Linked DNA regions of Pelodiscus sinensis. The protein of the gene in region 1 interacts with the protein of each later gene in a pairwise test. Links are inferred from orthologs where the notes say so. Each region holds a gene or a part of one and is shown in the gene's direction. Other genes may lie near its edges.

Region 1 (8,045 bases):
CTGAATTCAAGACAACATGCTGGTTTGATAGCACAGCAATGCCACTCAATGGGTGCCTGATCAGCAGTATTTACACATAACTGTGGGAGCCAACGATATCCTCAGTATTTAGACATAGCCTGTGCTATGCAGGCGGCCAAACGAGGTGCATACAAATAGCTCCTGCTAGCCCTAACATCCCACAAGCACATTTTCGAGCAAGCTGCAATTCTTTTGTGCTTCCCTCAGAAATCACACTTGTCACCTTGGGCTCTCTTTTCAGATGCACATGCCAGCCCCAGTGTCTGTTCAGGGATTTCTGCACCATGCCTCGGTGTTTGAAATGGTAATAGTGATCCCCTTCAATTATCTGCAGAAAGAAGAGTTACACATAAGGCTTGGACACAGGTGGCAACCAGAAGCCACCAGGAAAATTAACCACGTATGCCATTCAGCATAACAAAACGCAGGATCTGGCATTATCTGCATACACAGGCTCAATTTTTCCTCCCTGTAAGCACTCTGTTCTGTTTTCTACTATATATTTTAGAGAGTCTGTTTGATCAAGAACGCCTCTGAAATGGTAGGATCCAGGACCACCAAATTGGGTATCCAGCTTCCTCTTATCATAACTTAAAGCAACGTAAGGGTTTGACTGTGCCAGGAAAACGGGCTGTACCTGGAATGGGATTGCTTCTAATAAAACCAAACAGAAAAGAGACAATCACCAGATCAAAATTGATATAACCAAGCAAATGTTGAAAGAGGCTGAACCAAGATGAACGAGAAAAATAGGAGGAACTTGGAATTAGATTGCTTCTCCCTCAACCTGACAGACAAAAGATAAAATGGAGAAATCTGGCAGAGTGCTCTGTTTTGGCACAGCTAAATCAGAGCTTAAGGTTTGAAAACTAGAAGAAAACATTACTGGAAACCAAATGGACCTTAGTCCATTTTTGTCAAAATATAGTGAAGGATAAAGAATTTACAGGGTGAAGAAAAAAATATACACTTGATGCAATTCTCATTTAAAAAAATATACTAAAAATTAAATGGAAAAATGTTAATCCCTTTTTTAAGAAATCTGAATTAACTCCATAAAACACTGTATTTTTAAAAGTACAATCATTTAAATAAAACATGTGCATTTTCTTTGTATTTTAACAAAAAAAAACCACCCTTAATTGAGTTAAGGACCATGGCTTTATTTTTTTATCTGGCCCATTGCATTAGCAATTTCATTTCTACCTTTGCCTGTATGATTTTAGAATTTGTTTCAGAGTAATTGAGAGCTAATGGAGATCAAGCTGCCAACCGCTAGCTCACTGGGGTGGGTCCATCCATTTTCCATTTTACTCAATCACAGGGCACTACGTGAAACCACGGTGAGTGTAGAATGGAATTTTGTTCTCCCCAAAGGACAGGCTCCCGGCCCTGAAAACACCATCCGTAGGGAGCTGGTTTCACAACTAATTAGCAAAAGCTGTCTTTTAAAGCGAACAAAGCAAGACAAGGATCTGCACAGCCTTTTAAATATTTGATGAGGCCATTTGGCTGCTGCAGCAGAAAGCTAGGAAAAGGTACAGAGGTAGAGCTGATAAAGGGGCAATCCTTGTAACGTCAGATTACAAGCCCAGATTCTCTGTTTAAGAGATTAAAAGGTTTTGTGGCAAGTTTCAGCTCAAAACTAGATTATCCATGCAACTAAGTTACCCTGAAGACAGGCCTACACAATAGTAACAGCAAATGGTTGTTACTTAGCAAAGCATTACATGGATAATGGTTAGGTGGGTGACTGAAATATTACCTGGTCACAGTCATACTGTGGAGAAAAAAAACAAAAACAAAACAAGGAAGGGGGCAAACCGATGTTCAACTATCCAGACTCAAGGCGAATGGAAAGAAGGGAGTGATCGCAGGGTCTTCTGAAATAGCGCAATGTAGAACACCTAGTACTGTATAAAGGACAGTTAGAAATCCTAGAGTGAATTCAGAGAGTGACTTGAGAGGAATCAAAAAGAAGGGGCAAAAGAGGAGAATGGGATTTGGAAAGAAGTCAGAATAAGGTGACATTGAATTGGTGGGACATCTAGCACCAGCATGCCTCCTGCCTAGGGTTTTATGAAGAGGGCAAGCCATTGTGTGATCAAAAAAAGCTCCGTGGAGGATGGCTAAAGTGTCGGCAAATCAAGGTGGAGCTTGTTTTGGTACAACCGAAGGTTGAACGACAAGGTGGGGAGGGGAGGCCATTTGTAACCAAACTGCTGGTTTTCAAAGCCTAAAATGGGTTATACAGACAGAGAAGGTGAATTGGATCTCTTGGTTGACAGCCCGTGGCCAGAGGATGGTGGCTGTGGGACATTTAGAACTAACAAGAGATAAAGCTTTCTTTCAGGTACCTGTCCACTGGCAGCTGGCTTCGTGTTAGCTCATGTAACTGCATGCTTTTCAGGACAGTAGCTGTCATTTACTAGATGTTTGTACAGCACCTAGCACAACAGGGCCCCAAATCTCAATCTAGGGACTAAAACACTTAAATCTAAATAAAAAGGTGCAGAGAATGCATCCAGAGAGACCAGGGACCAGTGAAGACGGCCATGGACTGCAGTGTTTGAAAAAGCAAGAATTCCGTTATTATTACATGATTAAAAGTTTCAGGGACATGTTTTCATTAGTCTTGGATTTTTTTGGTAAAAGCACCTCTTTTTTTAAACCAAAACTTAATTATGGAGCCAATCAAACTTGTTTTCCCTCTTCAATTGCCACTCACTGCAAATCCCCCGGTGGCAGAGAACACGCTCAACGTCCGTGGTATTTTAAACAACCTTGCTGTCTAGAGCTTCTCTTTAAAGATGCATTTGCCTCGGTTGTCAAAGCTGTATGCTTTTAGCTGGAGCTACCGCATGAGGGGGAATTGGTAATGATGCTAGTATGCCCTCATCTAAAATAAAAATAGATCCGGATAAAAGCGCCTCAGATACAGACGTGAGAGAGAAAACGGAGAGGGAGGGAAGGAAAATGGATACAGAAGAGACAAGCTAGGCAGGAGGAAAAGATTGCCACATCAAATGGCACCAATGCAGGGGTGGCTGGAAGCCTCCTACTTAGTCCTGTGGCCTGCACTGTAATTTCACGGCTGGTATAGTCAACTGGAATGGCCAGCCAGAGAGCTCAGACGTCTGCAGCAGGGCAGCCTTTCATCAGGCAGCTCCCTGGCTCTCTCCAGCAGATTTTCCATCAGGGGAACAAACGTCGGGGTGTTTTTCGGGGGACGGGGGTGCATCCCTCATCGGGGTGTTTTTCGGGGGACGGGGGTGCATCCCTCTGCAAGCCCCCGCTCTTATAAACACCCTTCTTTCTCTTCCACCCCCCCCCCATTTCTTGGGGAGGGCCTGTGGAAGAGGAATTCAGGGGGAAGGCGGGGGGGGGGAGATTTGGGGGGCAGCCTCTCTAGGAAAGGGGGTGCTGGGGGGGGACACAGGAGCCTGGAATAGTGGGGAGAAAAGGGCTGCTCCCTCTCCAGCTGCTGGGGCTGGGGGGGGGGACTTGCAGACTGCCCCCCCACACTCCTCCCAACTACCCCCCGCCCCGGGCAAGTAGCCCCCCCGCCCTCACCTGCCCCAGGCAGAGCAGCCCGTGCTTGCGGGCCAGGCGCTCGGCCTCCCGGGCCCCCGCGGGCACCTGCACCGCCCAGCTGCTCAGGTAGACGGTGAGCCCGCCCCGGCAGCAGGAGGCACCGGCCAGCAGCAGCGAGAGCCGGAGCCAGGCCGCCGCCCCCGCCATGGCTCCGACCGGGGGGGGGGAGCAAACGTGGGGCTGCCCCCTAAAAGGGGCCCTTAAATACCCCCCCGCCCGGGATCTGCGGCCTAGCGCTCCGCCTGAAGCCGGGGCCTCGATTTTGCCTCTTTCCCGGGCACGGGCAGGGCTGCTGGGGCTGCCCCGCGCCACGTGTTCACACCCCGGGGTCGCCATAGCAACCGCAAGCCGCAGGAGCCGGGGAACGACCCCGTCGGCTCACCAACAAACTACAACTCCCAGGGGGCTTTGCGAGTAGGGAGGGGTGTTCCTTGGCTAGACGGCCTTCTGGGAGTTGTAGTTTTTTTTTTAAAGCTCCAGGCGCGTGTGAGTGTTTCCTCCTGCCCTGGGCTGGTGCGTGCCTGGCTGGAGCTTTTCCTTTTGCAGCAGCCATTGTGTAAATGTGTATTATTTAATTGAATCCAGGTAGCACCTGGGGCTCTCCAGTTATTGCTCAGGCCCCGCTGTGCAAGGTGCTGTATAAATGCACAACTAAAAGCCAGTCCCTGCCCCTAGGAGCTTACAGTGTAAATCAGTGTGTGCACCCCAGCCCCTTTGTTCGGCTCTTCCCTCTGCTTGTTTGCCTTCGTTCCCGCCAGCTCGGGGCCCTCTCCTCTGCCCCCTCTCCTCCCCCCTCTTGCCCCTGCCCCTCCCTTTGCCTCTGATTCCCCCTTCCCCTTCTTTTCTTCTGCCCCCAAACCATCTCCCCCCTCTTGCCCCTGCCCCTCCCTTTGCTTTGCTCCGCTCTTCCCTTCCCCCCTCCTGCCCCATCTCCTCCCCCTCCTGCCCCTGCCCCCTCCCTTTGCTTTGCTCAACTCCGCTCTTCCCCCCCCTCCTGCCCCTCCCCCTCCCTCTCCCTCTCCCTCTCCCTTTGCCTCTGATCCCCCCCCCCGCCTGCCCCTTGCCCCCGCTGCCCCTCCCCTGCTCTGACCACGCCTGCCCTCACCTGTCCCCTGTGACGTGCCCGCCCGGCTCCCACCTGGCCGCGCCCCGCTCCCGCATTGGCCCGGCGCGGGGGGCGGACCGGCCGCTAAGCCGAGAGCGAGCAGCAGCAGCCGGCGGCCGGAGCCGGAGCGTGCAGCCATGGGCTCCCTGCGGCAGCGCTTCCAGACCTTCCTGCACCAGCCCGGCCTGCTCGCCGACCTGCTGGGCTGGCTGGAAACCCAGACCGGCGTCCAGCGCTACTACCTAGCCACAGGTGGGAGCCCTGGGGCGGCCCCAAGGACACCCCCTTCCTGCAGAGCCGGGCTGCTTCCTTCCCCGGGGAGGGCACTTTATCCGGCAGCCCCCCCCCTTTTCCCTGAGTCCCCTAGTCCCGGGGGGCTCCCCTCTTTCCGAGGGGACTCAGCACAGCTACCCCCCTTGCTCACAACACCCCCTTCCCTTTCTCCAAGGGCCCCCCTTCCCCTGGGATTCCCTTCCTAATGCACCCCTCCTTGACCCCCCCATTTCAACCCCCTTCTGCTGGGATTCCCTTCCTAATGCACCCCTCCTTGACCCCCCCCATTTCAACCCCCTTCCCTCTGGGATTCCCTTCCTAATGTTCCCCTCCTTGACCCCTCCCCCCTGCCTCATTTCAACCCCCTTCCCTCTGGGATTCCCTTCCTAATGCACCCCTCCTTGACCCCCCCCCCATTTCAACCCCCTTCCCGCTGGGATTCCCTTCCTAATGCACCCCTCCTTGACCCCCCCCCATTTCAACCCCCTTCCCGCTGGGATTCCCTTCCTAATGCACCCCTCCCTTGCAGCCCCTTCCCCCAAACCCTGGGGAGCAGTACTTTGAGGTGACCTTTCCCAGCAGGTGCCTCCAGATCTGTCCCATAAAAGACCTCGGCTTGGCTGAGTTTGTTTCAGGGGAAGCCCTGGATGGTGGAACCCTCAAAAAGGAAAAGTCTCTTGCCTTGGGCTGAACGCCCCCTCCCCCCCACTTCTCCTGGTCTCTGCCCAGGTGTGGCCTGTTCTGCCGCACCTTACTGCTTCTGGGTGTGGGGATATGTGCCCTGGAGCACAGGGGGCAGATGCTTGGCTGGAGGATGGTGACCCCTTTTCAGACAAGTATTTAAGGGGATCATGGACGTTGTCAGTGTGTGTCCTGCTTAGAGTTCAATCCAAACTTTGTTAGGGAATGGGGGGAGGTTGTCTCTCACTTCTGCCTCCTGTGGGGTTTCTTGCTCCTTCCTCTGAAGCAACTAGTCCTGGATGGATGGTCCTTGGGTCTGATCCAGGCCAGCAGCGCTTACAGACCCTGTGTGTGCACCTGGTAACAGCACAACATTGCTAATGTAGCTGTTTGGGCTGAGCTGCCTCGGTGCTTCCACCTACACGTTTTGTGCTTTTCTGACGGATGCTAGCAACTCGGTAGAAAGTTCAGGATTTGCCCCAGGCCTCTCCGGGATCGACCAGTATCTCTGCCTGGTGGAATGGAAGTGCAGAGCGATCTAGTAGTGAATAATATGCCCACTGGCAGGAAACCTGTGGCAGAACCAGGACCAGAAACTGGCACCCTGACTCCCGTTCCCCTCTTCTGTCAGGCCGTTTTTAAACATTTACTGCAGCTGATCAGGGTGGATTGATTTAAATAGAGGCGATTTAAATAATTTGATTTTAATCACAGTTTAAATCACCCCCCCCCCCCAAAAAAAATAATCGCCAGTTACCGTCAAAGCTAAGCTAGACTGTGCTTAGAGGGCACTTAATTTTGGAAGAGGCCCCACTGAACAAACTTTCATTTCTTGTTTTCTCAAAAAAACAAGAACAATATAGAATGGGGTTCCCTTTAAAAAACGGAGTTATGCTGAAGTAAAATAAAGAATAGATTTATGACATCACCATTATGGACTGTGGCCATGAGGTTGCAAAAGAAGGGATATTATACAGTAGAATACAGTATTATATATACCATACAATAGTATATTATGTAATATAAAACAAAAAATGACACTCCGTGTCAATAGGCAACTCTAAATTTCTCTTACTGCAGCTTTCTGTGCTGTATACTTGGGTGATAGATTCTAAACCTAGTTAACTAATTCAACAAGCCATAAGGATTAGCTAAGCTAAACTTTTTTTTTTCTAGCAACACTCAACACAGCAAACAGCTTGGGAATTTACTAGTCAAATCGCTTTAAAAGGGGGAGAGAGATTCTTGAAGAACAATTGGATTGGTCCTGCTTTGGGCAGGGGGCTGGACTCGACCACCTGAGGTCTCTTCCAGCCCTAGGATTCTATGAACGATGCATTGCAAAGTGAATTATTTAAGTTACTAACCCGTTGATCCACTCAGTCAGATCCACATCGCTTTCTTCCCAGCAAGCAGTTTTCTTTGTTTCATTCTTGCAAGTAGGCCCTGCATTATCATCCTGCATGGACTGCTTATCCGTCACGTTTTCCTTTTTTACCCAGGGAATGAATTTCTTCAAACTATTCCCAGAGAGAATCTCTCTTGTGCCCAGAAACCAGGACGGTTTTTCTGTGGCACCAGTGTGGAGGGTATAGAAAGCTGTGCGTGAGTGTGTGTGTGCTCTGAATAACATCTTCTCTCTTTCTTTTCAGTTCACTGTTCTCTTCTAGGCTGCCTCCGTCCTTTTCTATATATTGCGATTCTGTCTTTATAAGCGACTCTCTTAACTAACTCCTCTGCTGTGCGTGGCCACAAAAAACAAGCCCGTTCAGGATGCGTCTGACTTTGCACATGTCGCTTTGTCGTCTGCTGAGAAACCGAAATGGAAAGCCCAGAACTTTCAAGAAGCAGGAGCTGGTGGTTAGGCTGGACAGGCTAGGTCCATTCATTCATTTTTAAGAGACTTTTTAAGCATCCGGGTAGCATTTCTGTGATGGGATTTAATTGTAACTGTTTTTAAATGGGAAATGGAGTATTTTACTGATCTCTTTTTTTATCTGAATTTTTTTTTTAAATCGTTGATTTTTATCAACCCTGATGCTCATGCTAGGAATCCAAATTCCCAGCTCGCAGGCACTCCAAATGTCAGGTCACAAGAACTAATGTGACATGGCTGGGGGTGCTCTAATCACTAGACAGCACTCTCCTCTCAGTCACAGTCCTTTCTGGCCTTGAAATCAGAGACTCATCCTGGAGGAACAAAAGTCAGAACTATATAGCATTTTAAAGACTAACAAGATGGTTTATTAGGTGATGAGCTTTCGTGGGCCAGACCCACTTCTGGCCCATGAAAGCTCATCATCTAATAAACTATCTTGTTAAAGTGCTACATAGTTCTGTCTTTTGTTTCAGCTACGCCAGACTAACACGG
Region 2 (7,235 bases), on another chromosome or scaffold:
ATCTTGCCTGATTGTCCCTTTACCTCCATACTCTGTCTTTTTTCTTCTGTTCCCCAGCTTCAAACTGAACATCTGGGATGTGGGAGGCCAGACATCCCTGCGCTCCTACTGGCGCAACTACTTTGAGAGCACAGATGGTCTCATCTGGGTGGTGGACAGTGCTGACCAGCAGCGCCTGCAGGTCTGCAAGCAGGAGTTGCAGAGCCTCCTGGTGGAAGAGGTGGGAACTGCACCTGTGGAGGAAAGGGGGAGGAGGGTGTGCCAAGTGTCTTGGAGAATGGGCAGATGTATCCTGTGAGGGAAAGGAGGTGGAATATATGCAATAGGTTATATGAAGTCCCTTGGAGAGGGGGTATATTTTTTGGGCACTATCCTGTGGGTGGGTGGGCCAGCTTCTGGCTGAACCAGGCTTTGGTTTGGGCTGCCAGAGGGGCCTGGTTTGGTGCAGGTCTGCTGGAAGCAGGGCCTGCCTCTGCTGCAGAGAGGATCCTTGTCCCCCTGTTTCCAGGTCTTTCAAGACTCAAAAACAATCCCTGTCTGGGACAGAGCAGGAGAACTGTGGTCCAACTGCTAACTGACTGGGAGGGTGGTTGAAGGGTTAACAGGAGAATGGTGGGGCCAAGACAACTGGGCCATGCAGCTTAGCCTGTGCTTCTCTCCCTACAGCGCCTGGCTGGAGCCACCTTGCTCATCTTCGCCAACAAGCAGGACCTGCCAGGAGCACTGTCTTCCAATGCCATTCGTGAGGTAAGAGCCACTGGCCTGAAGCAAACTAGGGATCTTGGTCAAGGGACATGGACATAGGTACAGGGTTTTGGGCCTAGTGTCCCCACTGCTGTCCCCATGTCAGGGCACCAGTCCTGTGCCCAGGGGCCCCAGCCTGGGTCAGTGAGGGGCATGGACGGATAAGAGTGAGGGCACTGCTCAGCACCCCTGCTCCCTCTCCCCTCCCCCCCAAAAAAATGTGTTCCAGCACCACTGGGAGTGGGGTTTGTTGGTTGTAGGGTAGGGTGGGGAGGGACTGGAGTCAGCTCTTCTCTTCCCAGCTCTGGAAGGGGAATGGAGTAGAAGAGTTACGCCAGATGAGTGGCAGCCTCAGCTCCTGGTTTGTCTCCAGTTGATCATTGACTCACTGTATGATCTTTCTTCTCTCTGTGCCACAGTTGTACCAGGTTGCAAGTAAGGGAGGGAGTAGGGGTGGGGTGTGTGCTAGTGTTGGGAGATGTGGACTGAGGACAGGTTTGGTCTCAGCTCAGTCAGGTAACTCAGTATCATCTTGTCTTCCCTTCAGGCCTTGGAACTAGACAGCATCAAAAGCCACCATTGGTGCATCCAGGCCTGCAGTGCCTTCACTGGGGAAAACCTGCTGACGGGGATCGACTGGCTCTTGGATGATATTTCCAGCCGGATCTTCACGGCAGACTGATCATGCCTCAGACATGGCCCCCCTCCTCCTTGAGGGCTGGATCCAAGCTTTGAACAGCTCCCATCATGCTTTCCTCCAGCAGTCAGTCACCGGGACAGCAACTCCCCTTGGACTAAGTCTGGATCCCAAATGTCCCCTGGATTGGCACAGAGCTTAGTACCCCTGACCCAAAGGCCTGGGTCTTCCACATGTGTTTCAGGGTTTGAGCTCTAATGCTGGCAATTGCCCTAAATGATGGGGCAAGCTGGGGAACCTCAGGAGCCAGATCGTTTACAGTGTGGGGAGTGGTGGCAATTCCCCATCATTGAAGCACAAGGCCTGTTGAACTGTGTACACGGATAGGACTGGCAGAAAGGAATTCCTCTTCCCCCCCTCCCCCTCCCAACTCTCCCCAAATAACCCTGCCTGTACGAAATATTCACATTTTTCATTTCTCGCGCTAATAAAATCAGTGGCCTGTAGTCTGCTGTGTCTGGGTTCATTGACTCTGTGTGGGTTGCCTTGCACTTTTGGCTTATGTCACCAGGTTCCTCGGAGAGATGAACTTCTTTTAGGGATTGCTCCACATGTCCAGCAACTGCATCTGTTTCTCACAGACGAGTTGCAGCCTCAGCCTAGTTGCTGATGGGGGCAGAAGTACTCGAGGTTGGGGAAAGGGTCTGCAAGGCTCTCCCTTATCCTCCCACTCTATCCTGAATTCTCTGTTGTTTTAAGCAATGAAAGATTCACTTCCTGTTCTTAACTGTTACTAGGAGCTATTAAACAGCCACCTCTGTCCCAGTCTCTGGTGTCTGCATCTCAGAGCCAACCAAAGGAGCACTGAATAAACAGCCCCTGCTCCCTACCACAGGCAGCTACATCTCAGCACTATATGAGGGATCCCTGTAGTAGCAGCACTTGTACCCCACCCCAGAGGCAGCACATTTTAATGATTGAGATAGTTTAATAATTCACCTCTTTCCAGTGCATATAATCTCCTTTTGCTTTGCAAACTCTGTACCCGCCTCCCCCCCCCCCCCCCCCCGCCTCCTTCTGGCATAGCACCTTTGGGGTGGAGCAGGGATAGCAGAGCCATGAGAGGTGCTATTTTGACCAAGATCCCCGAGGCAGTGGGAACTTTTGGGATGCCGCAAATATGGCCTCTGGTCAGTTTTGTCCATACAAAGATGGCAGAACCTCAGCTTTAAGATATCCCTCAGTGCCAACCTGCGTGGGCTGGAGCACCTGCCTGGGGTCAGAACAGGAAATGCAGATTGAGGCTGTGGGAAGCATCTGGATTTCAAACCTTATTGCCTGCTTGTGAAGTGCATCAGCAGTAAAAGGGTGGCACAGTCTCCCCATTCTCTATTTTTCTCCGTTGTCATATAGCCTCTTGTGACCCCTTGCAGACATCTGATTTGTCTTGTTACCCCAAGTTTAAACTCACTTAAACTACTTACTTACAAAATCTTACTAGATATTTTAGTAATGTCTATCCGTTTGTTCAAGACCTCCTCCTGAACAGTAAGCGCTAGAACCACCAGATTTGGTATGCAGCTTCCTCTTATCATAACTTAAAGCAAGGTCAGGGTTGGGTTGAGCCAGGATAATGGGGTGTGCATGGATTTGATTTTCTCATAAAATGGAAAGGGTGGGGTTTGGCAGGAGGGAGTTATAATGCAAAATGACTACGGGGGACGGGGGGCAGAGGTGGAGACTAGGAGAGCTATAACTGCATTGGGCCAGCAGATAGCAAGGATGGAGAAAGGGTCACCTTTTATATATTTTAGTGTTTGTCTGTTCCCCAGCTGGGAGATATGCACACCACCACACCATGGCTGTGCCCACTACAGCTGCAGCAGCCATGGACAGGTGCATCTCACCTGGCCCCAAACCGCTACGGTAAGAGTGGTCTGGGGTTGTCTACTCTCCTCAGGGCAGCCTGCATACTGAATTCCTCATCCCCAGCCCCACCCCAGAACAATGATTTAAAAGAAGAAAAACAAAACTTATTTGAGTTAAGGACCCAAGCAACGCTGAGTAAATCTTTTATCAGGCATAAAATACAGAAATGTCCCAGCATTTGCATTTATTACTGAAAAACTTCTTGCTTTTCATTTTTACCATATAATCATAAAATAAATCCACTGGACTATAAATACTGTACTTGCATTTCAGTGTGAAGCATACAGAGCAGCATAAACAAGCTTTATGACATTTTAGCTTGTACTGACTTAGCTAGTGTTTTTCCTGCTGCCTCTTGTAAAAGTTGTCAGATATTCAGATGAGTTGATGTATTCGCTGTAAGTCCTGTGTGTATCCCAGGGGTATGCATAACACTGGTTGACTTGACTGATTGAGAGCCACAGTTGTAACCTGCTCCCTTTACCTCACCTCCGCCCAATTACCCTTTGGCCCTCCAGTCTTCCTCCCTGTACACCTGGGCTTGACTCCTTGCTTACCCTGCCTCTAAGAAGGGCTCACTCTCCAGAGGAGCCCTTCACTCTTCAGCTCGCCTGCAGTTTTGTACTTTACACACGCTCCCTGGGCTGGGACAGGGCAAGGAGGCCCGGCCACGCATGCGTACTGGCTGTTCGGCAAACCCACGCTCCCTGGCGGCGGTCACTGCTGCTTGGGGCTGTTAGGGGCTGGAGAGGGGCGGGCTCAAGATTTAAAGGGGCCGCAGCCTCAGTGTGCGGAGGGAGATGGCCTGCAGGGTGAAGGATGAGTACCAGCGTTATTACACGGTCACGGAGCCGAGGAGCCACCCCAAGGGCCACACTGAGTACAAAGTGACAGCCAAGGTGAGGGGCAGCGCCTGGGACCTTCCCCAGGGAGCTGTGCGCGGCCCCTTTAAGGTGAAGGGCCCCTCCTGGGCAGCTGGGGCTGCCGATGCCCCATGGAAGGAGGGCGCCTCGCTCGCCCACCTTAAGGAGGGCGCACGGCGCGTGCAGGCGGGGTGGGACTTGTTCCCGATACTTTCCAGGGTGAGGGACACTGCGTAGCCGCTTTAAGAGGTGGGAAGTTGCGAGTGGTCCCCTCCGAGGCTCCGTTTTGGGGCGTCGTAGGTGTGGCCCTTTTAAGACGGAAGCGTCCTGCAGGGGGAGCCCTGGGTCCCGGGAAACCCACGTGGGACGGTGCCGAGGCACGTGGATGTCCCAGGTCAAAGGCACGTCCCGTTAAATGCCCCCCACGCCCGTGGCTGGCCCCGGTGGGTGTCCTGCCTCCCCATCCCACGCGCTGTGGACATCACATTTCCCGCCTCCTAGCCTGATAGCCCCATGCCCTGCTGGTCCCTTCCTTTGCCCTGAACCTCCCCACTGCCACCTCCCGGCTCAGAAGTTGCTGACTCCTCCTCTCTTCCCTCCTTAGTTTGTTTCAAAGACGAAACCAGAAGATGTCAAGGAGGTGACTGTTTTAAACCCGTCTGATGGCTCGTGCAGGGGAGGGGTGCGAAGAAGGGGTGGGATGAAATCCATAGCCATCCCTCAGTGTAGAGTGTGGGGGGGGGGGGTCCCCACTACCGGCTAGCCCACACTCACAGCTGCCCAGCAGTGATGGGAAAAGTCCCATAACTTGAGGTCTGATAGAGCTGAGTTTTGGGGACAGTTTTGGGGCTTTGAGTCCTATGGCAAAGGTTGTGGGGGCAGGGATCGTGTGACTGAAATCTGGGGGTGAAATTCCAGGGGCTTTGGAAGGCAGAAATCCAGGAGTTTGAAGTAGAAGTTCTATCTGGAAGGAGCTGGGTCCATAGATTTGGATTTGGAGGTTTGAGCTGAAGGGTTGCAGTTTGGGGGAAAAGCGGAGGGTCCCTGGGACTGTAGAAGCTGTGGGCTCAGCGCATGTCTGTGGCTAGTTAACTGGGGCACCTGGGGGGCTCTTGTCCTTCAGATCACAATCTGGAAACGTTACAGTGACTTCAAGAAGCTGCATGGAGACTTGTCCTACATCCACCGCAATCTCTTCCGGCGCATGGAGGAGTTCCCTGCCTTCCCCAAAGCCCAGGTCTTCGGTAAGTGGCTTCCCGAGAGGTGGGGGCTCAACAGCCAGACTCTTCTGGTTACTCCCAGAGCAGGAGCAGTGGCAGAGAGCGCTTCCCTCATTCCTCCCCCATGGTCAGCTCCCTCGTCCCCACAGTACAGCCCCCCTACCGCATAGCCTTTTCTGCTTCACAGTGCTCCACAGCATCCCATAATGTCTACCCACACATCCAGCGCCTTCTGCACAGTCCCCTTCTTCCCTTTCCCCAACAGCTCCCTTTCATGCCCCCAGCACCCTGCAACTTCCCATAGGTCCCCACACAGACTCAGCACTCTCTTACTGCCCCTACCACATACCCAGATGCCATCCCCTCCCCCTGACCCAGACACAGCAGTCTGAGTCCCCAACCCACCCCCAGAGACTGCTGGTGTGGGGCAGTTAGACCCACCCTTCAAGACGCTTCACACCCAGGTCACCAAATGAGCTGCAGATGGGAATGAGTCTAATTTATTGGGATCTCGGACTGGATCAGAGCTGGGAAAGGTCCCATATCTCATTTCCTGCCACCTGGAACCAATCCCCTGCCCTGGGGACAGATTAGAGCTGATGTCCCCACAGGGGAAAGGCAGTCATTGCTGGACATGCTGCAGGGGGCTCACACCAGATTCACAGGACAAGGGATGCATAGTGGATCATACCACATGAAGTGAATTGTGGTGGGATGTCCAGGCTTAAGGGTGGCAGAACTGAAATGTACCATAGGGCTAGAGGGGGAGTGGCTGGTCTGCCTGGAGAGGCTAGATGGGTGCTGCATCACAGTGCAACAGGAGCTCTGTCCCGCAGGCCGCTTTGAGCCCGAGGTGATCGAGGAGCGCAGGAAAGCAGCTGAGGCCATGCTGAGATTCACGGTGCACATCCCTGCACTGAACAACAGCCCCCAACTCAAGGAGTTCTTCAGGGTATGTGAGTAGGGCTGGGCTGGGTGGGCTGAGAGGGCCCTAGGTGCTCTGGGGCCACTGCTGATGCATCAGGCTGCTCACACACATGGTAGCATCATCAGGCCCACTCAGTTGCTCTACATACCCCTTGAAAAGCTTGGGCTGAGGAGATCCTCACCTCCCCAGCATACAGCAGAGACTCCTCTGAAAGGTGACAGTCAGGACTAAATGGGTTAGAATAGTGGGAGCTGGGAGTCCTGGGTTCTTCCCTCAGCTCTGGGAGGGATGCAGGACCTGGTGGGTTACAGTAAGTGAGGGGGGCTGGCTGGTATCTGGACATCTGGGTTCCCTTCCCGGTTCTGCCACTGACCTGCTGTGTGGTCCTGGGCAGGTCACTTCCCCCATGTGTGGCCTTCCTCCCTGCCGTGTGTGTGGGAGCATTCCTGACTGCTGCCAGTGGAGCAGCACAAGACCAATACCCCATCCCTGACCTCATGACCAGTCTAGCATCCCAAACCCCCGCTCCTCCTTCACTATGCTGCTTCCTTCCTCTAGGATGGGGAGATAAAGAGACCACTGGAGGCCTGTGACCTATGCATCCTGCCGCCCCCTCTGATCCCAGTGCCACAGGAGGGCACGGATATTGGGGATGATGCTCAGGGATCTGTAGCAGAGCTGGGACAGCATAGCCTGGAGCCCGATGGGGAGCCGGAGCCGCTTGATGGGGAACTGGAGCCGCACAGAGGGGAGCAAGTGGAACCACAGAAACCAGCGCCCCTGGGAGCTGTAAGGGCAGCATGCGAGGAGCACAACAGGGGAGATGGAGAGGAGACAGGTATGAGAATCCTGCTGTGGGTTTTGTAGGTTACAGCAGGGCAACCAGGAGTCAGGGTTCTGTCCCCATCTCTGGC

Evidence for each region.
Region 2: the proteins of REEP6 (region 1) and SNX15 interact in binary tests that used the Homo sapiens proteins (3 or more experiments, as listed by UniProt). The two-hybrid records come from large-scale screens. The link is inferred for Pelodiscus sinensis from reciprocal best matches to the Homo sapiens genes REEP6 and SNX15.

The regions. Positions count from the first base shown.
Region 1 is NC_134729.1:17,444,573-17,452,617, reverse strand, and holds the start of REEP6 (receptor expression-enhancing protein 6), read left to right. Parts: upstream 1-4,838; 5' UTR 4,839-4,857; coding exon 4,858-4,972; intron 4,973-8,045. Other genes in the region: PCSK4 (proprotein convertase subtilisin/kexin type 4), read right to left, coding at 245-349, 3,595-3,951. UniProt on the Homo sapiens protein: Required for correct function and survival of retinal photoreceptors. Required for retinal development.
Region 2 is NC_134721.1:34,789,534-34,796,768, reverse strand, and holds the start of SNX15 (sorting nexin-15), read left to right. Parts: upstream 1-4,029; 5' UTR 4,030-4,110; coding exon 4,111-4,209; intron 4,210-4,301; exon of another isoform or gene 4,302-4,422; intron 4,423-4,777; coding exon 4,778-4,813; intron 4,814-5,296; coding exon 5,297-5,417; intron 5,418-6,229; coding exon 6,230-6,345; intron 6,346-6,879; coding exon 6,880-7,159; intron 7,160-7,235. Other genes in the region: ARL2 (ADP-ribosylation factor-like protein 2), read left to right, coding at 58-220, 667-747, 1,292-1,426. UniProt on the Homo sapiens protein: May be involved in several stages of intracellular trafficking. Overexpression of SNX15 disrupts the normal trafficking of proteins from the plasma membrane to recycling endosomes or the TGN.